Ovis aries: one gene and its partners. The protein of the gene in region 1 purifies or fractionates together with the protein of each later gene. This does not show direct contact. Links are inferred from orthologs where the notes say so. Each region holds a gene or a part of one and is shown on either strand. Other genes may lie near its edges.

What was found. Proteins that work in one complex are often made in the same cells at the same time.
Region 2: the proteins of EED (region 1) and PHF19 purify together in Homo sapiens (affinity purification with mass spectrometry; 8 studies listed by BioGRID and IntAct, counting the BioPlex papers as one, with this or other methods). This does not show direct contact. The link is inferred for Ovis aries from reciprocal best matches to the Homo sapiens genes EED and PHF19.
Region 3: the proteins of EED (region 1) and MTF2 purify together in Homo sapiens (affinity purification with mass spectrometry; 3 studies listed by BioGRID and IntAct, with this or other methods). This does not show direct contact. The link is inferred for Ovis aries from reciprocal best matches to the Homo sapiens genes EED and MTF2.
Region 4: the proteins of EED (region 1) and AEBP2 purify together in Homo sapiens (affinity purification with mass spectrometry; 6 studies listed by BioGRID and IntAct, counting the BioPlex papers as one, with this or other methods). This does not show direct contact. The link is inferred for Ovis aries from reciprocal best matches to the Homo sapiens genes EED and AEBP2.

Annotation. Positions count from the first base shown.
Region 1 is NC_056074.1:8,811,760-8,817,288, reverse strand, and holds part of EED (polycomb protein EED), read left to right. Parts: intron 1-2,692; coding exon 2,693-2,845; intron 2,846-4,518; coding exon 4,519-4,611; intron 4,612-5,529. UniProt on the Homo sapiens protein: Polycomb group (PcG) protein. Component of the PRC2/EED-EZH2 complex, which methylates 'Lys-9' and 'Lys-27' of histone H3, leading to transcriptional repression of the affected target gene.
Region 2 is NC_056055.1:2,683,856-2,690,122, forward strand, and holds the start of PHF19 (PHD finger protein 19), read left to right. Parts: upstream 1-2,641; 5' UTR 2,642-2,823; intron 2,824-3,975; exon of another isoform or gene 3,976-5,376; intron 5,377-5,472; exon of another isoform or gene 5,473-5,491; intron 5,492-6,151; exon of another isoform or gene 6,152-6,245; intron 6,246-6,267.
Region 3 is NC_056054.1:70,261,004-70,267,138, reverse strand, and holds the start of MTF2 (metal-response element-binding transcription factor 2), read right to left. Parts: upstream 3,627-6,135; 5' UTR 3,394-3,626; coding exon 3,389-3,393; intron 1-3,388. UniProt on the Homo sapiens protein: Polycomb group (PcG) protein that specifically binds histone H3 trimethylated at 'Lys-36' (H3K36me3) and recruits the PRC2 complex, thus enhancing PRC2 H3K27me3 methylation activity.
Region 4 is NC_056056.1:196,106,949-196,113,020, reverse strand, and holds the start of AEBP2 (zinc finger protein AEBP2), read left to right. Parts: upstream 1-2,446; 5' UTR 2,447-2,735; coding exon 2,736-3,388; exon of another isoform or gene 3,389-3,728; coding exon of another isoform or gene 3,729-3,751; intron 3,752-6,072. UniProt on the Homo sapiens protein: Acts as an accessory subunit for the core Polycomb repressive complex 2 (PRC2), which mediates histone H3K27 (H3K27me3) trimethylation on chromatin leading to transcriptional repression of the affected target gene.

The DNA of each region.
Region 1 (5,529 bases):
ATACTGCCTGTATTATAGTAGAAGGAAGTAATAGATTTCGGTTAAAAATGTGAAAATTAAGATGCAATCTTAAATTTATTTATGAATTTATTCAACTGCATAAGTTCACAGGCCCTCTGAATTCCATTCAGGGACCCAGATCTAGGACATAAGTTAAGAGAAGCAGTAAAGGAAGGGAGTAGAGAACTCTGTGTAAAAAATGAATTCAGAAAAAGCTAATAAGGGCAGTGATTTAACTCTTGAGGGAGCTAGATAATGATGGGAAGGCCAAAGGCAAATGGAAGAAAGAATCTGGTATTTGTAAGTTGGAGTTATGGTAATCTGAGCAGTTGATACTGTTAAAGTGAATCAAAGAACTGATAGGATGTTAAACTTTTTTAAAGTTTAGATAAAATTGACCAATAACATTATGTTATTAGTTCTAGGTGCACAACATAATAATTCAGTATTTGCATTGCAGAATGATCAGCACAGTAAGTGTAGTTAATATCGGACCTATTTTAAGTTCATTGTATATGTACCTGCCATTTTATTAACTTTTTCATATAAGTGCAGCATAATTGGCTTCTGAAAGAATACTGATTGTTGCCTGGTAGTAAGATCAGAAGGCTGAATCTGAAGACTTGACTTTGCTTTAAGGAACCTGTGGCAAGATCAAGGGACAAACTACTATCCCCATTTCCTTGTTGAGCAGATGAAGGTGGTAGTGCCATGTCTGTTACACAGTACCATTCTGTACTTTGAGGAGGAGGAGTCAAGGTGGATATCATCTTGTGCACATACTAGATGCTCAGGAAAGGTTTGAATTTACAAATAAAATGAAAGCATTGTGAGTATTGCATTTCCATTTGATTCTGTCTTGATTTGACTATTTGAGGAGATGGGTAAATTAAATGGGTAAAAGGTGTGTGTGTGTAATGTTCCCCAGTTATTTACTATGTTTTGTGTGGCTTCTTGATTAGCAGTTGAATTTTTAGCCAGAGTGGAAAGAAGCTGGTGAATAAATGTCTAAGCATTGTATTGTTTCATTTCTCTAGTGTTAAAAGATAATTTTCAGAAACATTTTACTCATGTAAGGGAACTGGTCAATTTAAGTCACACAGTACAAACTATACAGATGAAAGGAATGTAGAGATGAAATTGCAAATGGAGACAAAAACTTTTCTTCAGAATGAAAGGGAAGACATTTTGAACCTCTGCCTTTGGCTGTCCACAGTGTAAGAGGTGTAAGATTGTTCAAAGGCAGTGAAGCAGACTAGAATCTGATAACATGGAAGGAAAGTGTGCAGTAGACATAAGTTTCCCAGTGAAACACAAAATTGTTTTCTACACTAAATTTTAACTGTGTAAATTCAACTGAAAGGTAGGAAGAAATAAAGATTAAAAAGCAGTGATTTCGACCTAGAAACTGAACTCTATAAGTATAGTTTTGTATTTTCTGTATCTAAAAGCTGATTGTGTTTACATTAAGTTACAGTCTAGATATTGAGCACTGCTGTGTGCCATCTATCCACTCCATTGCTTTTTTCCCATTGTAGTGTTAGAATAAGTTGTGTACTTTTTAAAAGCATTTCGTTTTGGTATGAACCATTGGAAGTTTTGGAAACCACCCCTAAAAACTACCATATAATACCATACAGGTTTTAAGCAAATTAATGTGAATTTTTAATGTACTTTTTTGATATTCTAGTGGATTTTTAACTTTCTGTAATATCGTAAAACTAACTTTAGAAAGCAGTAATTTAAAAATAGCTCCTAGGGCAATGGTTTCTAGTCTGTATTCTCATAGATGTTAGTGGGCACTCCATGAAAAAAGCTTCCTCTGGAATGAATTTAGTAACTACTGCCCTAAGGTGATACAGGTTTAAATAAATCTCTTTATGCCAAAGAACACTTTGGAATGTGTAATTGGAAGAGGTAGTGAAATCCTCTTCTGAGAGTAGAGGACCATTAATATATCTTGTAGACTGGAGACAGGATATAAATTAGGTGAATTTGGAAAGATGTTACTTTACAGTGAGCTTCTGGAGGTCTGAATCATGAGTATTTTAGAGCCATGAGTCAGATTTCACTGGTAAATAGCACGTAATATGTAGAACCTAAAAAAGTTTCTAAATGGTTTTAAGTGTTATAAATAAGTAGAGTTTGAGTGATAATCAGGATTTTCATCTAAAATAGGAAGTACTAACACACTGGCCTCAAACAGCCACCCACTGCCATGCTCCAGACTGAGCAGCAAGCAGTCAAATAAACTATGAGGACATGTAGGTCAGTCAGATGTAGGAGTCACAGCTCTGGTTTTCAATCCCAGCAACCCTAACCAGCAAGACACCACCTTAGGCCCTCTAAGCAACACGTATCTAACAGTACGTTGTATGAAGAGCAGTAAAGATGAAGTGAGGCAATGTAGTGTCATGGCTGGCACAAACCAGTGCCTTATTAATTTATTTATTAATAATAAAGCAGTATTATTCTTACCATTAGCATCATCAGGATTTGATTTTTGTTTATATTTTTGCTGAAATAGCAAATATCCACAAATGCTAATGCATTTGCAGGAATACATTTTTTCATTTCTTGCAGGATTTATTAATTACTTCTTTTATGTTGGTCAGCAGCTCTCCAGTTTGAAGTCATTTCCTAAGTACAGTATTGCTGTTTCATATAGTTTTTTCTGATTTGCTGCTTATAGGATGATGCTGTCAGTATAGAAAGCGGTACCAACACAGAACGCCCTGATACACCTACAAATACGCCAAATGCACCTGGAAGGAAGAGTTGGGGGAAGGGAAAATGGAAATCAAAGAAATGCAAATATTCTTTCAAATGTGTAAATAGTCTCAAGGTATGTGGAGAAAGACACAATCTATGGGCTAAATGCAGGGTTCCAGAATTGCAGGTTTCTCAATGGCAAACATTTTATGCTCAAGGTTCTCTGTCAAGTTAAAAATATTTTAAAGTTATAATAGTTGGAAGTCAGTCTTTAAAAATTGAAGTCTTATTTGTAATTGTTTTCAAGAAAAAAGGTATAAATTAAAATTTGTTTTGCATACTTAATATTTGGGAGAAATAATAGGTTCATGTTATTTAGATTACTGTCTTTCTCAATAGTCTTTTTATTATTAAAAAATGTTTACTGATATTTAAGTGTTTTATGTATTCATTTCCTGTTTTTTTAATTTGGGGTTTTTTCCTATACTGAGCAAAAATATACCTTATAGTGTCTTGTGCATATGTTAGATTCTTTTTAAAATACCTAAATATCCTTTTAAAGTCTTTGAAAAGCATAAGAAGCTATGGAAATTATTGGAAATTATTTCCATATGGAAATTATTTTCCTATCTAGGTAGCAAAATCCATTGCTGTGTATGTCAAATTATACTGTCTTAAAAGGAGAGAAATTAATCTCAGTGTTTTTGTGTGTGTGTTTTTCTTCTAAAGCAAAGTGTCCCTTTGTAGTTTCATGTTAATATTTAGGTGTATTAACTTGTTTTTATGTAGTATATTTGGAAAGTGGTTTGAACTGTATTGTTTTTATTAAATATTTCCAAAGCCTAAAACTGTGGCTTTTTAAAGGATAAGAAATGAATGTTATCAGACTTTAAAGTGCCTTAAAGTGAATATGAAGGTTACTGTTAAACATCAGGAAATTGCCAGTAAAATCCTAAGGCTGAAAAATAACTTTATGAACAAAACTTAATACTTTTAGCAGAGGGAACTCTGCTCAGTATTCTGTGGTGACCTAGATGGCAAAAGAGTTTGAAAAAGAACGGGCGTGTGTGTGGCTGAACCACTCTGCTGTGCACCTGAAGCTGACACGGCATTGTTAATCAGCTCTACTCCAATTAAAACCAAAAACTGGATGCTTGTGTTTTAGGCACTTCCTATAACCTCCTGATAACTGTGGAGTTACAGCCCACTGCCTCCCTGGCCCCCACTTTCAAGTGTTCTTATTCATTATAAAACTTCTTAGGTGGTTTTTCTTTTAGGATCCAAATTCAAAGTAATTTTAAATTGTTTCTATAGAACTAATGGTGAGCAGTGATTTGAATGGAATCAATTTTCTTCACTTCACAAGGGAAGAATTCAACCAGAAAACGTTTAATGAGTACTGGAGAAACTGTATTAACTCAGGTTATTTGTTATTTCAGAAAAATAAATTGTGTCCTGAGAGATTAAATGCATTTGTCACAATTATCCATTATATTTTGATTCAAAAGCATGGCATTTCGGTTTAAGAAGATAGAGAGCAACTATTAAAGTATTTTCATTGATGAGTACTTGTTACCTAAGCTCTAAGTCTTTAATTGTTACATAGTTTTATCATGCACCAGTATTTTAAAATGTGAAAACTGGACTAACATATCTTTTAAGTGTCAAAAGTCAGTTTATGTATGATAACATAAAATTGCAGCTTGCATTTTGTGGAGGGGAAGGTTTTTAATGGGAATGATCAGTTTACTACATTTTTTGTTTTTAAAATATATTGATTTTTCTTATTTCTTGGTTATTTTATAGGAGGATCATAATCAACCATTGTTTGGAGTTCAGTTTAACTGGCACAGTAAAGAAGGAGATCCATTAGTGTTTGCAACTGTAGGAAGCAACAGAGTGAGTGTTAAGGGGCTCTTTGGCATTTGGCTCATCAGTCTCTGGTATTAGTGTAACACTGAAGTGTAATGATTTTGAAGTAAACTTTGTATAGCCAATTTGACAGTATCATTTCTTTATGTAAAAATGGAACATTCTAGAAATTGTCAAAAATTAAAACTAATATTCATGACTGAAAATACATCTTTTTTCATATATACTCACAAAATTGTTCATGAAACAAGTCTCTATTTATATTTTGTCTTTGTAAATATTGTTCTAAGTGGCTGAAAAAATTGACTTTGCTTTTTCCAAGTGACTGTGATAGTTGTTTGTCAACTTGGAGTAACAGGTCTGTGATTTCTTAAAAATAATAAATGTAATTAGTTGCTCTCTATAAATGCAAAGCATAAATCCAATGGATTTGTATAATAGTTACTGAAAATATTTTAATTATACACAGTAAACATTTGTTTTGAATTGTTTTTATTTAAGGAAGCCAGAGTATCTTGAACTGAGAGAATGCATGGAAAAAAACCGTAGTGGACATGTTTTGATGTAAACTGTTATTTAACTTTTTAGTTGAACCTGGGACTGAAAAAGTGGATTGCAAAGACTTACTTCCATTCACTTCTAAATGAATGGGAAAAAGGAAGATTCCTAGGGCCTACCAGGGAGTCTCAGGAGTCTGTTAAAATCATTTTGGAAAAGTTGTCCTCCTAATAATAAGTCTTTTAATTAACTTACATTCTGGTTATTCATTAATAATATACTAGGAGTTGTGAGGAATAACAGAAACATATTGGTGTATTTGGAAAAAGAAAGATGGGGGAAATTGACTAACTGGTATGGGTTGACAGTAAAGTCACTTTCTTTACCTTTAGCCCAAGAGGGGAAGGGAAGGAGGTGAATCTGGGAGCTATTCTGTAACTTTGAGTG
Region 2 (6,267 bases), on another chromosome or scaffold:
TCACGGAGAGGACAGACAGTTGATGTCTCCCATTTCCCCCACAAAAGCCACAGGTAAAGCTGTTTATGGCCTGGCAGCCAACCAAGGCCACAAGCACTTCCACAGGCCACAATCTAACCCTGTCAACTATTTCTTTCTTTAAAAGAAAAAGAGAATTTAAATCGTGTTAACAATCATCCTTTCTACCATAATTTGAAAGCTCTCAGCACCTCCCTGCCGAGGCCGTTATAAACTGACCCCTAAATTCAGGCAATAAAACACAGGCCCACCCTGCTGGCCACCCACTTTCAACGATGGAAACACCTGTATCTTAATTATTTCCAAAACTTTTATTAGAATCATAATTATTCGAATTCATGAAAAGCATTTTTCTTCTTTGTAAGAGCACTTCCATACACACTAAGTGGGCTAGTACTCAAATGTTTCCAAACCAATCAAATCCTCTAGAATGAAGAGACTGTTGTACATTTAAAAGTAGGTGAATTTATTTTATGTGAATTATTTGTTGCTGTTGTTCAGTCCTGTCCTACTCTTCGTGACCCCAGGGACTGCAGCACGCCAGGCTTTCCTGTCCTTCACCATCTCCCGGAGCTTGCTCAAACTCATGTCCATTGAGTCTGTGATATATACCTCAATAAAGCTGAATTAAAATGTAAGACAGTGCAGGGACTTGACTGGTGGTCCAGTGGTAAAGAATCCACCCACCAATGCAGGGGACGGGGGTTCAATCCCTGGTCCGGGAACCCATACGTCGCAACAAAGGCTCAACGTAGCCAAAAATGATAAATTTTAAAAATAAGACAGTGAAAAGCACAAGTCACTTTCATTTTCTCCCTTGGGCTTTTTTATATTTTCCAAGGTGTCCTTAATGGAAAGTAAAAACAGAAATGGCCAGCAGTTGGAAGAAGATTGATTTCTGCAAGGTGGAAGACCTCTTCCTGACATTCTTCGGCCTTTGCCGGTCTCCCGAGACACAGCTGAGGGTAAGGGGACTCCTCCCTCCTGTGTGTGGCCTTGCGGAAGTCACCCCATGTCTCCAAGCCTCTGTTCCCTCGCCAGTGGACAGACCCAACGCCTACCGTGCCTTCGTCACCAAACCGTGGGAGCAGACATGTCAGGACTCTGAGAGCTGATGGCCCAGCACACACGACGGGTCAGTGCTGAGACCAAACTTCCTTCGCTGTAATCTCTCTGCACATCCCATCTTTAAAATTACCAAATATTTCAAACATACAGAAAATGGAGGAAAAAAGTTTTAGACCTGAGAAGAAGGATCAATGCAAAGAACTACAGACAAGCCACCCAACTTTGCCAAGTCTTGACAGCTTGCCATATATACTTCAGATTTTTTTTCCCTGAAAAATAGAACAGTACAGATTAAACCCTCTGTGTTCCTCTTTCTGATCTCATTCCCATCCCTCCGTACCCAGGGGTAACTGCTGTTCTAAATTTAGTATCTTTGATTTCCTATGCATGTTTTAACATTTACTATCTGACTGTATCCCTAAAAATACATATGTAGCATAGTTTTAAATTAAAAAAAAAACCTTTTTAATATTGCACTATTTTACCACTTTTCTAGACTGTGCCTATGTTGAAGCTATAGCCTGAGTTTCTTTTCCCTCCCGGTATATTATTCCATTGCACAAAGAGATAACAGTCTATCTATCTGTCGATGGACAATTCATCAACTCCTCAGTTTTTACAACTACATGCTGAGTAAGGGGAGGGAAGTCACTAAACGGTAGATAAGAGCATCTTCAACTTTATTAGAATTTTCCAAACTTCTTCTCCAGAGAAGCTGTATCTGTTCGCGTCTCCACCAAGATGGTACAGGGTTCCCAGGGGGCCGCATCCTCACTCCCTTCACCCCTTTCCCCGCGCTGAGGGACTGCTGACTGCTTGCCCTGCTTGCGTGGACGCAAAATGGTGTCTCCCAGCTCTTAGCATCTGCATCTCTCCCATGGCCAGTGAAGCGCAACATCTTTTCATATTTCTGGCCACCTCGGTTTCCTCTTCTGTGAACTGCCTGTGTTAACTCGTTTTTTAAAAGTGATTATTTGTGTTTCTCTCGTTTGTCCATACTTTCAACCTACTTCTGCCAGATCCTCCCAACGCAGACTCAGTTCACGGCCCTTCTCTGTTCTAAACTCCCTGCGGCTCCCTCTAGAACACGCACAACTCTAGAATAGGCCACAGGGCCTTGCTCAGTGGCCCTGATTCGCCTGTGGGCTAAAAACCAAACTCAGCCCAGGACACTCAGCTCCTCCTCCTCCAGGCTTGACCTGCGCACCCTGAACTCCAACCCAAAGGACACCCAGCTCGCTTAGTCCCAGGCCTCCAGCACACACCACGCCCCCAGCCTGGAATGCCTCCCTCCTATCTCCACATTCCATCTGAATGCCACCTTTTCTGCAACCCTTCTCCTCTCTTCTCAACTCAAAGCTGGGTTTGCCTCTGACTCGCAGGTGAAACTATACCTTTCTAGTGGCATTTATTACTCCTCCTTTGTCGTGTTTAAGCAGCTTTGCATTTTGCCCACTACTTTTTCATTTACAAAAGCACAGCTCTTTATTGTGCTGTTTTGGCCTCACCTCTGCAGTGGTCCTGTGGCACAAGGTAGTCGTTTACACTCTTTGAACAGACAGGGAAGGTGGTTTACCAGGGCACTAGCTCACCCAGCATCTCCCTTCCGCTCAGAGACGGAGCTGGACTTGAAGCCAGGACTCCACCGATTCCGCGTCCAGCTCTACACACCATGCCCCTCCTGTTTATATCCCTGCTGTTGCTGCCTGGGCCAACCCCTGGCTCCCCCTTGAGACGGTGAGTCCCGCTGCCCCCAGTTCTAGTCTCACTGCTGCGGGAGGAGGGGGGGGCACTCGGTGAGTACATGATTTCTTGACAAAGTTACAATTATCACTTATTGCACACCCACTGGCCGCTGAGGGCTTTGCATACATTAACCCCAACCTTCCCAACAACTCTAGAGGAGATTGAAGTTTGAGTTGAAATGCTTTGCTCAGGGTCCCACGCCCCGTGGAGCTGGCAATCTCTGCCTTACGCATAACAAGGGTAGACCCAGCCAGCCAGAGAGACAGTACCCCAAGGCCCACTCCCCAGAGAGTGAGTCCGGACGCGGACATTTCTGCCCATCCTCCCCAGGGCCAGGGCCGATCATGACTGGAGCCGTGCCCCCAGCCTCAATCCGCTATTCCTCTGACTCCGTATGCTTTCACCGGGCGCCACTTATTTGAATGTTGTGTTTGTGTGTGCGTGTGTCGCGGGGTGTTTCCAACTGTATCTCTGTGTTGTGTTTCTCCGCTTGGCTTTGTGTGCGATCTGTTGTTGGTGTCCTCTTCCTCTGGCGTGTTACTGTGTTGTGGCGCTGTGCCTGTCTGCTTTATGCGCCTGTTTTGCTGTGTGTCTGCGCTGTGTACACTCTTGCGTGTCTGTGTTAATGTGTGCTCTGTCCTGTAGATCCTGAGTGCTCAGCTTGCGTTTGTGCCCCGCGCCGTGTCTCTACGCAGGCCGTCTCCGCTGCAAGCGCAGGACGCGTGTGTGTTTCTGTTGTGCTAGTCCCCTTTGGGTTGTTCCAGGTCTGTCCGGGCAGCGCGTCCCTGCGCCCCCGCACCTCCCCGCTGTGTGTCCCCGCCAGCTGACGTCTGCGCCCGGCGCGCAGAGCCGGGTTTCCTCGACAAGTGTGCGCCGGCCCGGGCGCCGCGCGCGCGCCGCCGCCGAGGGGCCGTGCCGGGGCCCCGCGCCCGTGTGCGCCCGCGCCGCGTGTCTGCGCCGGGCGCGCGGTGGCGGGGGATGCGCGCCCGCGGGCGCGGGGGCGCGGGCCGGGGCGCGGCGCGGGGGCGGCCCGGGGGCGGGGGCGGGCGGGCGGCGCGGCGGGGCCCCGCGACCGCGGGCTCCAATGGCGAGGCCGGCGCGGCCCCCGCTAATTACATAAGCGGGACGTCAATAATTCGCGGGAAAACGCGAAAAAGATGGCGCCCCGCGCCCGGGGGGCCCCTTCCTGAGCGCCCGGGCCCCTCCCTCCTCCTGCTCCGGCCCCCCTCCTCCCCCCGGCGCCCCCGCCCCGCCCCGCCCCCGCCGAGACCCCGACCCCGGCCCCACGGGCGGACACTCGGCCGGGCAGCCGCGGGCCGAGCGCAGCCGCCTCCGCCGCCGATGCGCCTGGTGGCCAGACTCCAAGTGGGACCGGCGGACACGCAGCCTCGCGGTGAGTTCAGCGCTGCAGGCGGCCGGCCCGGGCCGGGGACTCCTCGCCGCTCTCGCCTCTCGCCGCAGTCATCCCTCTTTTGGAAGTTTCCCTGGACTTTGGCGGGGCAAACGCCTCGGGGCCGGGAGGGGGTTTGGAGTCCTGGGGAGATGCTCGCCGGGGGCGGGGGCGCGGGGTGGTGGAGAGGGGCGCACGGTGTCTGCGGGGCGGCGGGAGCCCCGCCCGGGTTCCCGAGCCTCTGGGGGGGGGGGTGGCGTGTGTGACAGGTCGCTGTTCCCGTGCCCCAAATCTTTACTTTTCCTGTTTGGTGGGGGGACGGGCCTGGAGACCGATGGGGCCGTTTGGGATTTTGCTCACGTCCGAAGTCAGGCTGCAGCAGGATGGGGATGGGGGGAGGCCTGGCGTCGGAGCGATTGAAGATCGGAGCGCTTGAACCCGAAGGGGGGTCCTTCTGCAAGCGTTTTCCCCTCCCGAACACCCTTTTTAAAAAGCCAACGGCCGCCCTGGGAGAGGCCCCGGCGCATGAATCATCCTTGCTTCCTGCCCCCGCCCGGCCCCGCGCTCCGGGGGCCGCGGATTTGAACTGGACGCCGACGAGAACCCGCAAACAGGCATTTCTTTGCAGATGGGTTTGAATCAGCCAATCACAGCCCGCGGGGGCCCGCTCCGGGAGGATGAAGGCGCGGGTGGAGGGGGGGCCCGCCACCCGAGGGCCCCCGCCCGGTCAGGGAGGGGGGTGCGGCGACTGGGCCTGCTCCCAACGGCGCGGCGGGGGAGGAAGTGTCAGTTTGTGAACCTGCCGCGGGCCCGGGCCAGGCCCGGCGGGGCAGGACCTTGCAGCGCTCGGCAGCCAGGTGGCAGGGAGAAGGCAGAGATTTGGACCGCACACCCTGCCCGGCGCCTGTGCGCTGTGCCCTGGAGAGGAGGGAGGAGTTGGGCGGGGGGAGGGAAGAGGATGCGGCCGCGCCACCATCTGGAGAGTGAAGACCCCAGCAATGCCCTGCGTGCCCCGGGGCCCTTGACATGCACACGCATGTGCTCCGTTTCCTTTACTCGCCGCCACAGAGCTGTAGACATCAAACACCGCCTCACAGGAGCACACACGCACTCACACGGAAACACACACACGACTGTCTCCCTGTAATCTACAGGTAATCATAACACCAGGTGCCCAGCGCCTGGACAGAGGAGGGGACTGGAACAGTGGGTGCAGGGAACAGAGGGGGCTGTGCTTAGTGGAGAGTGTGTGGAGCCGCCTGGAGCCAGGTGAGCCCAGATTGAGGAGGAGAGGGCCTTGGGGTGGGGGACTTTGAATGCCACTGAAGGCTTTGGGGAACCACAGGAGGTTTCTGGGAGAAGAAGAAGATGGGAAATTGTTGGCCCTGGAGAGGAGTCTGGTGGGGAGGCAGGAAGACAGGGAGTGGCCTGTTTAGCGCTGTGCCTAGGTGGTACCATTCTGCGTCCCAGGTGCCCAGCAGCTGAGTGAGCATGAAACAGTTATTGAATGAATAAATCAATGGCCCAGGCAAGATGAGGCTTGAACTCAGACCAGGCCAGGGAGATGGACAAGAGGAAGCCAGAAATCACTGTGCTTGAAGTTGGCTGCTTGTGGCAACTCATAGGTTGGAGAAGTCAAAGATGCTGGGTTGTTCTGGGGACCAGAGTAGTACTGTTAGCAGGAAGTGGGAAAGCACCAGGAGCAGTAGGTTTCATAGGATGGTGAGAGACAGATGTAGAGAGGTTGGCATGGCGATGACTTCACTGCTTGGAGCCAATTTGCATCTGAGTAAAAGCATAAGTGAGTTTAAATGTCCCAGAATTGGTTTCCGTTAAATCATCCCATAACTGAGAACAGCAAAGGAGATTACAGAAGACACAGATGGCCAAGTCTATACCAGTTCATAAGCCATCAGTTTTCCTTTCTAGGTGAGTTTTCTCCATAGCTCTCAGGAGAGGGAGCAGGGGTCTGAAAACCTCCCACTGCTCTCCTGGAGAAGGCCCTCCACTCAGAAAACACGGGGTATGTTTGCTTTAGGGATAAA
Region 3 (6,135 bases), on another chromosome or scaffold:
AAGTCACTTCAGTCGTGTCCAACTCTGTGCGACCCCACAGACGGCAGCCCACCAGGCTCCCCTGTCCCTGGGATTCTCCAGGCAAGAACACTGGAGTGGGTTGCCATTTCCTTCTCCAATGCATGAAAGTAAAAAGTGAAAGTGAAGTCGCTCAGTTGTGTCCAACTGTTCGAGACCCCATGGACTGCAGCCCACCAGGCTCCTCCATCCATGGGATTTTCCAGGCAAGAGTACTGGAGTGGGGTGCCATTATAAATATAAAACAGGCATTATATTTCAAGCTATTAAAGTGTAGAGTTAATGTCTGCATTTCAGTATGTCTAAATTTTCCATTGAAAAGCTCATTATACTTCTGTTCACTTTGTATCTGTTTGAAAGTTTATGTGTAAAAATAACAAATTATTTTAAATAGCAAAGTAAACTAATTTTCCTAAAACTCGTTTCTGTTGTTTCTGACAAAAGAAAAAGAATCTTGCATCTTAAAAAAGACAAGAGACATTGCTACCTTCATTATTCTTTTGCAATGTTATGTGAAAACATATATGACAGAAGACATGGTGTGTGCAAAAATGAAGATTACTTCACCTTAAAAAGTTACAAAGGGAATGTGAATCCCTTCAGTTCAAAGATAGTTCCTTACCTCGGGTTCGTGTGGTTTCCATGGTTAATGGGTGTGACAATTCCTAATAAACGGATGCAATACTGTGCCGTCCCATACAGCAGTCACATATGGCCATTTTAATTTTAGTTTAAATGAAGTATATTAAATTATAAATTCAACTATCAGCCTCACCAGTTACATTTCTAGTATTTAACACCACATGAGCCTATGGCTACCATACTGGGTACAGCAGATATAGACAGCTGCCATCACTGCAGAAAAGTTCCACTAGAGAACACTACTCGAACACATTAAAAAACATCCACAGAGAAACCATCATAGTCCAGTTCCAGGTTGTTATACTGTATTTTGGGCTTCCCAGGTGGCACTAGTGGTAAAGAACCTGCCTGCCAATGCAGAAGATGTACAAGATGCAGGATAGATCCCTGGGTCAGGAAGAGCCCCAGGAAGAGAACACGGCAACCCACTCCAGTATTCTTGTCTGGAGAATCCCATGGACAGAGGAGCCTGGCGGGCTCCAGTCCATATGGCCGCAAAGATTCAGACAGGACTGAAACAATTGAACACACACACACACACTGTATTGTGCTACAAGAAACAAATCTTGAAGAACAGGGAAAACAAAGCATAATATATCAACAAAGAAATACCATTCATGGAAGTTTAGACTAACTAGAGTTAAATTTTACTTTCAGAACGACCAAGCTACAGATGTTGGCCTTGGCAACTGCTCAGAGGCAAACTTCCCCATGTGTTAAACTAGATTATCACTATACTGCCAGTTTCCTAAAGTCAGATGTAAAGATTATGCTGAAATATAAAGCAAAGTATCCTGTCAGTCAAAGGTCTAATGAAAAGGTCTATTTATAATCCATGACATCAAAGAGTTTATGACCCATAGCAAAATACACGGAATAAAATTAATTTCCTACTCGAATTCTGAGGTAACAGGTGTAATTAACAGCATAATTAAATACATTGTTTTACCTAGATATAATGTTTAGCCAGATGATTTCTATACTTCTAAAACTGTGAGAGCGCTTCATCCGGATAGGTATAGATTTCGTTAATGCCCACTGACATGAATGTGCAGTATCAGGAAACAGGTGCACTCTTAATTCAAATATTTTAAAATATTTTTAGCACTTAAAAAAAAATGGAGGCGAACAAATTTAAAATGTGAATTCAAATAGATTTTTATATTTGGAAACCTAGAAAAATAAAAACAAAAAGCTTCATCTCATATTCCCATCCCAAGTTATCACCACAAACGCTTGGAAAGTGAACAACATTCCAAATATCAAGGGATCGAACCGGGGGCTCCCGCATTGCAGGCGGATTCTTTACCAGCTGAGCTCCCAGTGAAGCCCAAGAATATAACAGAAATTTAAAATCAGCTCTTTCCTTGCTAAAACTACTGGGCACTTGAAGCTTAGTCAAATCAATTCTATTTAAAGCATTTCAAACCACCGAAAAGGTCACTCATTAATTGACGCACACTTTATTTTATCCACACTAAATACTTTTAAAGGCACTGTCTTTACAATCCACTACCAAAGAAAGAAATTCTCGAGAATGAAAACATGAAACTGAAACCAACCTACAGCCAAGGTGTACAGAAGGGTCACCTGGAATCAATCTGAAGGAGAAAGTTACTACTACCGGAGCATCTGGAGTCAAATAAGGAACTATATACATACTTCTAGTTCTATACTGACCTCACATGGTGCTTTCTTATATTATACACAAGCCTACCTAGGTTTATATATTTGAATTAGTAAATGGACTCTATCTTCAACCAAACTTAAATGTTTTAAAGAACAGAACAGTATTTCATACCCCTTTTCCCATTGTTCTCGAACCCTTACAGTTCATCAAATCACCCCGATCAATCTATCTCATCTGTTCCCGCTAGTTGCTTCCAAAGAAAAAGTCTAACAACCAAGGACGCCACATTGCAAAACACAGTTAAGAGTTCTGGCACTACTAAAACATGTTAAGAAATCTTGGCAAATTAGTTAAAATCTCTTAAGCCGTAATTACCTCAGTTGTAAAGTGAATACAATGATACAAATCTACATCCGAGCAGGCATTAAGAGTTAGACTTAATTAAACAGAAGAATTGCCTCCGATTTTTGGTGGGCTCTGAATATAAGGTACCTCTCTCCCATCTCACATTTTTCTTCCACTTCTTCCCTTTAAGTTTGCAGGGTTTGCTCTCAGGCTCTACTTAGTGTTCCCCTTAACCTCACACTCCATCCTGCCCTTCTACTCTACCCCATACTCCAATTCCATACAATTTCACCCCCCACCTCGTTTCAAGCGGCTACTTCCCTTTGCGCCCTCTAAGGTCCCAGACAACCCCTTCACTCTGGTCCCCAACATCTCCCTCAGTCCCCATTTCCTAATGGCTCCTCCCCTCGGTTCCCCACCCCCTCATCACCAGGTTCATCCTGCCCCTCCAACCGTCTCCCGCCCCCAGGTTCCTTCCTGCCCCTCCAAACACAGCTTCCCCGTCTCAACGTTTCATCTTGTTCCTCCAACCGACTTCCCCCAATGCCCTGCTCGCTCCTTTAGACCCTATTTTCTCCAGTACCCAACTGACTACTCCTTTCCATCCATTCTTTTCAAGGCACCCCCATACACATACTGCAGCCCCCACCCCCACCTTGAGCCTCCATCTTTCCCTTTTGCTTCCTTTCTTCCTCCTCCCCACCCCCTCCACCTCCTCCGGAAGAGCCTGGTTCCCAGGCCAAGGTCTCTCACCTCATTCGGTCACTTCAGTGGTGCCAACCGCTTCATACAGGAAAAAACAACCAATCACGACCCCGTGGGCGCTTCCCTTGCGAGTCCGAGCACTTACTAGGCACCCGCCCCACCGGGCACCCCGCACATACACACGCACAAACCGAGGTCCTGGGGACGAGGGTTGGGGAGGGGTAGAGTGAGCGTTCTTACACCAGCCTCAAACACAGCCCACTTCGCTACAACCCTTCGCCATTTTGGTTTCCCGCGGACTGCCGGTGCATTCTGGGAGAGCGGAGCGCCTCCGGTGCCGAATGGCAGCTCTCCAGAGCCGCGAGGGGGCGGGGACTGCGGGGCGAGCGCGGAAGAACACCGCGCTCTGCGTCCGCGGCTAGGACTGAACAAAGAAGGACTCTTTGACTTTGTGGTGAACTAAGTCCTTCCGCCGCCGGCGCTAACACAATAGTGAACGGTGTTCTCTGGTGTATTGGCTCTTTCTGTTACAGAGGGAAGCTTGTGTTCAGCTTTCACGTTGCATGTTCTGTTCCTGACAAATAGAACGGTACCCCTTACGTCTTGCCCTGCCAATTTTCTTTCTATGGAGAAAATCTCTTACCTTTATCCTGAGGCCTGTTCGAATTTCATTCAGCGGGGAAGAGGCCCGGGACGTCAGAATCACATTTTGTTCGGAGATTATTGTCCAGCTCCAAATTCCTTCCTATCAGGAGATTTTCACACTTTTTTCCCCGACGATGAAAGATTTCTCTGCTTATCTGCTTTGCAGATTCTTAATAATTGTGATGAAAACTGAGAATAATTTCGTCCTAAGTGGTTTATTTTGGGAATATAAAACTTTCTTGTGCTAGAGCAGACCCTTAGCCTACGAATATTCTGCTGCAGATGTCCTAAGTGACAGAGTGAATGCTTATCTCTGTGACTTCTACTTAGATAAAACCCAACTCCTCTTAATAGGCACATATGGTACCTTTGTTTATAACTGTCAAAATACTCTAAAAATAATTTTTAATTTTTGTCTCATTACTTCACAGGGATAATTAGTACCATGTTTTCCCGTCTAGGAAGACAGCCTCAATCTATCTGCTACCTTTCAAGTTTCACTTTTATAATAACCTATTTTCTCATAAATTTGTCTTCAATCCCCTTCACACTTCTGGTTGAATAGAGTTTAATTTATTTTTAAAAAGGTATACGTGCTGTGCAGCTAAATCTAATCACAGAACATCAGTTTTAGAGAACATTTGGTCTGAATTCCCCTCAACAATTCTTTCAAGTGGTCATCAAGTCTCAGCTTCAACATCTTTAGTGGTTCAGTACCTCGGAGGCAGTCTTGCCGATTTCACAAACGCTAATAATTAGAAAGTCCGTCCTTTTATAAATGTACAATCTGCCTTCCTGTAATTTCCACTTACTGGTCTAACTTTTAGCTTCTTTAGCCACACAAAAGTGTTCTGATCTTTTATACCTTAGAGAAGTCAACGATGCCTGTCTTTTTGGGAAAAAAAAAAAAAAAGTTTACTTTTTCCCTATGTAAACATATGAGTACAAAAGTGCAATCATTTCATTTTAGGAAGCCAGGTGCTCAGGGAATCGAGGGCAGTGAGGGAGTCACAGTAAAATGCAAAGAATTTCTGTAACGGTGGTCTCAGAAATTACTGCTAAGTAAGCAATGGACGTGAATCTGAGTGAACTCCGGGAGTTGGTGATGGATGGGGAGGCCTGGCCTGCTGCGATTCATGGGGTCGCAAAGAGTCGGACACGACTGAGCGACTGAACTGAACTGAAGCAATATTGCCATGGGTTAGAACCTTAAGAAGAAACAAATGTGGAACCTCTCAGATGTACAAAGCAAAACAACTCCAGTCCAAGTAAACTGTACTCTTTGTTGTTATGTATTTCTCTGATGGTCATACGGGTTGCTCACAAAAATTCTGGTTCTCCTTTCTTCCAGACAAAGAGTAAAATTGCATTTTACGTAGAGTTAGGTATGGCTGTGTAGCTCATTTTTACTAATTGCATTTTACCTAGAGTTAGGTATGGCTATGTAACTCATTTTTACCTATAAAATGGATGAGAAAATCAATCACTCTCTAGGAAAATCTTTAAGAAGCAGTTGCACATCCCCTCCTGCTTGCTGTGGTGATCCTGGAAGCTTGTGCTGTGATGGAATATCTTTCATTTTGGGTCCCTAAATGAAAACAGGAGAGACTAACATTGTATAACCATCACCGCAATCCAGTTTTAGAAGATTTTCACCACCCTAAAAAAAGTCATTATGTCCATTTATAATCAATACTTGTTCCAACTCCTGCTGTTTCTGCTAAGTCGCTTCAGTCATGTTCAACTCTGTGCGACCCCATAGACGGCAGCCCACCAGGCTCCGCCACCCCTGGGATTCTCTAGGCAAGAACACTGGAGTGGGTTGCCATTTCCTTCTACCCTGCCTGAAAGTAAAAAGTGAAAGCGAAGTCGCTCAGTCATGTCTGACTCTTTGTGACCCCATGGACTGTAGCCACCAGGCTCCTCCATCCATGGGATTTTCCAGGCAAGAGTACTGGAGTGGGGTGCCGTTGCCTTCTCCGACTCCTCACCCCAGGCAATCTGTTATCTGTTGCTGTAGATTTGCCTTTTCTGGCCATTTCATATGAATGGACTCATACAATGTGTAGTCTTTTGGTCTGACCTCTTTCACTCACCACAATATTTTTGAGGTTCATCCACATTGTACCATGTGTCCCTAGTTCTTTCCT
Region 4 (6,072 bases), on another chromosome or scaffold:
AGTGATGGGAAACAAGAGCTGTTTTTTTTTTTTTTTTTTCCAGAAAGCCAGTTCTAAGATAGTTTGTTTTTGTCTTCAAGTAGAAATACTGCAGTCAGAGCATTCATTTGTGGGTTTGATACCTGCCATTTCCACTTACCTAATTGCCATGCACGTTTCCATCCTTTCACGTTTTTCTCCATATCACCTGTAACATTAGATAACCTTATAACATAACTTAATCATATCACACCTTAAAAAATTTTTCTGACTACAAACACACACACACTCACTCACTCACTCTGTCATCTTTCAAAGTCAACATTTTTTTACTTAGCGTTTTCTGTGATCTCATCTTGAAGTCTTTTTCACTTTTGTAACTTCATTTTCTCATGCTTAACAGTCACAAATTAAATTTTTATGCTTTTCCAATGTCTCAGTCTTAGAATTCCCCCTCACACAGATTTCTCAGTCTATTCAATCTTCAAGATCTGGCTCCATCGTAAATGTATTGTATGTTATGTACACAACTGTTCAAATCCTACATTCTTCATGATGTTTTCCTTTAGTACGTCTGCCAAACGCAGCCAAAATCTCTAGGGCTTAATACAGTGCTTGGCACATACACTTAATACACGCTTTTCAGTTAAACTATGATAGTTTTTAACTGACAACACAGGAGGATGAAAATACTTTCTCAGTCTATCTCAAAGAGTGGCTTTGAGGTTGAAATGTTTGTGGTTAGCATTTTGCCTTGTATGAGCGTTGTGAAGGTATCTGTGAGCCATAATGCCCCATGGTATTATTTATTATTTTTATTTTTGCTTTCTTTTGATGCAACATACGGAACAAAGCTGTCCAAAGGCCTAAGGCTGTAGACATAATGCTGGGGTATTCATGATGTATGAAGACTTTCTAAGATGTGTTTGAGTGCAGAGCCTGTTTTAAGGCAATCAGTTCTCTGATTCTCCCTTCTCTTACACCTAGAATTGATCTGTCTGAAAATGTGCCTCAGGGTCAGATGTGAGGTGGGCTCCTTTCCAGCTTCCCTTATCCCAAGTGACCCTTCACTGCTTTGCAAAAGAAAGGCATAACTCTGCCTCACCCATCTTCCTAACCTACCTAGCAGGGTATGCAAAATCCTCCCGGACACCAGAAAAAGGAACAATCGAGTGGTGAATGAGAATGAGTAACACATCTTTTTACAAGTCAGGTGGTGTTCAATTACTTGCTTTCGACAAAGTTGAAAGAGAACCTAGTCAGAGTTGTCAACGGATAGATCATTAAAAGTATTTTTTTCTTGTTAGATCTTTATGTGATTTTTTTGGGGACATATAATTTAGAAAGAGTTCAAAGAATCGAATTGCATTGCTCTGACAAAACTCCATTCATTCTCATGTACTTATTAATGTGAACAAGTTTTTTCAGTGCTTACATTCAAGGAATTAAAAGTTTGTAACTGAATGGAATCATCTCATTTTCATTCTAGAAATACTCGTCCACTGATCAATAATACAGCTTTTAAAAAAGTATTCAATTTCATTTCTGTAAGATGCATTGTCAACAAAATTCCAATTTGAGGGTTTAGTATCTATTTGTAAATATTTGAAATATATTTGTTTTGATCAGTTGAAACAAGTGTTGAGTGTTATGATCTCAGGAGATTTAGAAACAACCCTTGAATTTCAATTTCGATACACATTTTTTTGTGTATATAAGATGTATACAGGAAATATATAAGATGAACAATAAAACAGTTCAAATATAAAATATTAGGATAAAATTCTGCGAGATGTAAAATGTAAATGAGCTCCAGAGGATAAAGGATGGAAATTGCCCAAGTATAAACGAGACTGTATTTTAAAAGATATTGGTGGGTATTAAATCCGTATGGCATTTAGGATTCATTGGTTGACTACATTTACAAAAGTGTGACAGTCGTAAATTATGAGGCTGGGAAAAAATGTGGTTGTCACTTTAAACATGTGGATGTACGAAGATGTACAAAATCGTCTCAGAGGGCTCAGGAGCTAAAAAGTTTGAAGCTCTTGCCCACAGATGTTTGCTCTCAGACTGAGATTTAACCAGTCCTCGGGGTATTCGAACGTAGGTTAGATAAAAACCTGTGGCTCTGCGTCGCGCGTATGGATTCAGTACCTAGCACTGTATTATTCATTTTTACTCATTTTCCTCGCCTCTCCTCTTAGACTGTCAGCTCTCAGGAGCCCAGGGACTTGTTCGATTCTTGGCTCAGCGCCCGCGCGCCGGGGACGCTCCCCAAACACTCCCGGAATGAATGACTCGATCGTGAGCCCTCGGGGCGGGGGCTGTTAGAATCCCCGCCCGGCGCCCAGCTTTTCGTTCCGCGTGTTCCGCCCGCCGCGCGGCCGGGGAAGGCGTGGGCAGGCCCCGCGGAAACTCTGAGTCCCGGCGGGCCGGGGCGGGGGCCCAGAGGGGGCGCGGCCGGGGGCGCGGGCGCGGAGCCGGCGGCCGAGGGGAGGCGCCACCGCGTGCCGCCGCGCAGGCGCGCAGCCGTCTCCGCGTGAGTGCGCGCAGTGGCGCGCCTGTCCCCGCGCGGGTTCCGTAGCGCGTGTGCAGGCTGACGCAGCTCGCGGGCCCTCCTCCCCCTCTGCCGCGGCGTCGGCCGAGTTTGGAGCGTTTGGGAGGGGGACGAGGGAGCGAGAGTCGAGAGAGGGAGGCGGCGGCGGCGGCGGGGAGGCGGAGGAGCCGGAGGAGGAGGAGGAGCAGGCGCCGCCATGGCCGCCGCTCTCACCGACATGGCCGACCTGGAGGAGCTCTCCCGCCTGAGCCCTCTGCCCCCCGGCAGCCCCGGGCCGGCGGCGCGGGGCCGGGCTGAGCCCCCCGAGGAGGAGGAGGAGGAAGAAGAGGAGGAGGAGGCGGAGGCCGAGGCGGTGGCGGCGCTGCTGCTGAACGGCGGTGGGGGCGGCGGCGGAGTGGGGGGCGGCGAGGCGGAGACGATGTCGGAGCCGAGCCCCGAGAGCGCCAGCCAGGCCGGGGAGGACGACGACGAGGAGGAGGACGACGAGGAGGAGGAGGAGGACGAGAGCAGCAGCGGCGGGGGCGAGGAGGAGAGCAGCGCCGAGAGCCTGGTGGGCAGCAGCAGCGGCGGGAGCAGCAGCGACGAGACGCGCTCGCTGAGCCCCGGCGCCGCCAGCAGCAGCAGCGGGGATGGGGACGGCAAGGAGGGCCTGGAGGAGCCCAAGGGACCGCGGGGCAGCCAGGGCGGCGGCGGGGGCGGCAGCAGCAGCAGCAGCGTCGTCTCCAGCGGCGGCGACGAGGGCTACGGGACCGGGGGAGGCGGAAGCAGCGCGACCTCTGGGGGCCGGCGAGGCAGCTTGGAGATGTCGTCGGATGGGGAACCCCTGAGCCGCATGGACTCGGAGGACAGGTCAGTGCTCCGAAGCGTTCCTCCGCCTCCCTTCCTCCTCTGGCGCTCCTGGGCCCCTCCGAGGGGGACTTTTCTGCTGAGAGTCCCCCCTGTTCCCCGAATCCTCGGCCCCTCCCCCCTCCCCCCCGGCTCTCAACTCGGAAACCTCTCCCTGCCGCCGCGCCCCTCTCGCTGCGGATAGCGGCTTCCAACTCTTCAAAACCCTTTTCCCCCCAACTCTCCTTTCCCCGCCCTCTTTCCCCCTCGGCTCTGCGCTCCGTTCGGACCGAAGGACGGCTCCAACTCGGAAACCATCCCCAAAGTAGGCCCAGAACCTCCGGCGGAGCCGAAGAGGGCCTTGATGTACACACCTCGGTACACAAGGTTAGCTTCCCCGGGCGATGTTGGCGAAGACTTGTCACAACTGTAACTGACAAGTGTTTTCCAACATGGCTGGTCTCGCCTGGATGTAAGAGAACTTCCTTGTTCAGGGAGGGGGACCCCAACCATCACTTTTCTTTTACTTAAAAAAAAGACTATTCTTTTCTATTTGACTAGCGCTTCCAGAATTCCTCGTATCTTCCTTAACCTGGTCTCCAAAATGATTTTAATAATCTCTCTTTATTTGGTTGGTGGTCAAACTGGGGAGAAAGTTCTCAAACTGTATACATCGTTGTGTAAGAGAATAATGAGTTGGTGTCGTTTAAGGTAACTTTACCGAGCCGAAGAGAGTTGCAGTGGTAACAAAATGCAGTCTTAGGGTACAACATGTTAGTATGCGTTTTAAAATCTGTGTACACTAATGGTTCAACAAGAGCCGTGATTTTAGGTGATAGTATTTAAAGTCATGTTTTGGCGAGATTTCTGAAGAGATTAGTAGTAGTTTTCTAAAGCTTTTTAGAAAGTGTGGAGACTGACAAAAATGCGCTTCATTTTCTGGGGGCTTTAAGATACTCATTGTTACGGTATGTTTCAGATGTTATTGTCATTATTTTTCATCTCCAGAAGATTTCATATTTTAACTAATTGGTTGTTAATGTATTTTATTTTGCTAGAACAGAACCACGTCATGCGTATTGTACTGCATCTAAAGTATGTTAGCAATTATTTTGACCGTCTGCTAATGTTTGGATGAGCAGTAGAATTTTAACCATCGATATTGGATTTGAAAGTTTTAAGTATTCTAAAGTTCTAGGAATTCTATTGTTAACTGATAAAAAAGGAACACCTTGGCTTATATTTAGTATTATGAGGAATTCACAGCCCTAAATATTTTGAAAATACAGCATCAAATTCTATTTGACATTTATTTTAATATCTAAGGAAATAACCTTGAATGGGGTAAAATAGACTGCAAACCTTGAAAAAATTGTCCTGAACTATGTATGCAGGATAGGAAGGAGAATGTCTTTAAGAAAATTAAAAGATTGGTGTGAACTGCCTAACGAAGCATGTTATTTGTCGTTTTACTGTATACGCCTTCGTTGGTACCAGTAGATATTTAAAAGTTGACATTAGTTCATACAATTCGGCGTCTTCCACAGTTGTTCCATTTACCTAGCATACACACGTACTTGCCTAGTAGCACTGAAGGATTTAAATGTGCCAATCATGTCATTTTCACAACTCTGGTGCAAGACTTAAAAACAGAGAAGAAGCAAGTTAAGTGTCTTACTCAAAACAGTAACTATGGAATGGAAGTGGTGGAGCTGGATCTGAACAAAGGTTCTCAAGTCCCCTGCTAGTTCGACTTCACCAGAGTTAGAATTATTCTCTTTAAATAAGCTACAAGCAGTATGTGCCAGGTTTTTGTTTTTTTCGTTTTTTAAATTTAATGTCTATCTACTATGTCATTTTAGGAGACTGTGAGTAGTTGGTCCAGTAATACTTCAGCAAGTGGAGTTTTGACGTAATTTTTATTAGATACTCACTTGAATAAGTAATTCTTACTCATTTCAGAGTAAGGAGTAAGATACTGGTGCCACAAGTCCAAATAAGGTTAAAATTTGATTAAAAAAAAGCATGCTTGCTTTTCTGGATGCTTAAATATTAGAGACTACAAAATACTATAATCTTTTTCCTATTACAGGGTAATGAATTTATCACGTATGAAAAAACCTTATTGCTAGTGAAACTGTTTGTGATCTTGATAATATTAACTTTGAAATGCCCCCCTCCTTTGCCTTTCAGTTTCTTTTTTTTTTTTTTGAGTTCATAATTCTTATAAATTGATGCAGATTACATCAATCTGTGGATTTTATAGGTTGATTTCATGGTAGGAAGTCTTTATATTTGTAACTGATGGAAGGATATCGTGGTTTTAAAGTGCTTTTTAAAAACACGAGGCATTCCTGTTGCAAAGATTTTATTATCCTTAGAATTTACTCTCTTGTTAGAATGTCTATTGAGCTTTCACCTTGAAATAAGATTATACTTTCGAGTTTATGTAACATTCTTTAGAACATGTTGAAATATTTTAAATATTTTTAACTTTAAGTGCTTCTTTTGAAGAAAGAACTAATTGTAAAGATTTGGATATAAAGCTTGTGATCAAGGAGTCAGTTTACCACACATATTTTAAGTGTTGTGAAAGTGATTAACTTATAAAATAATTAAGTCACACAATTCCAAAAACATTGTTTTCCCCAGGAGAAAGTTATTCAAAACCAGCCTTAAGTGTACTGATGTTTATTTTGGTAAGATTA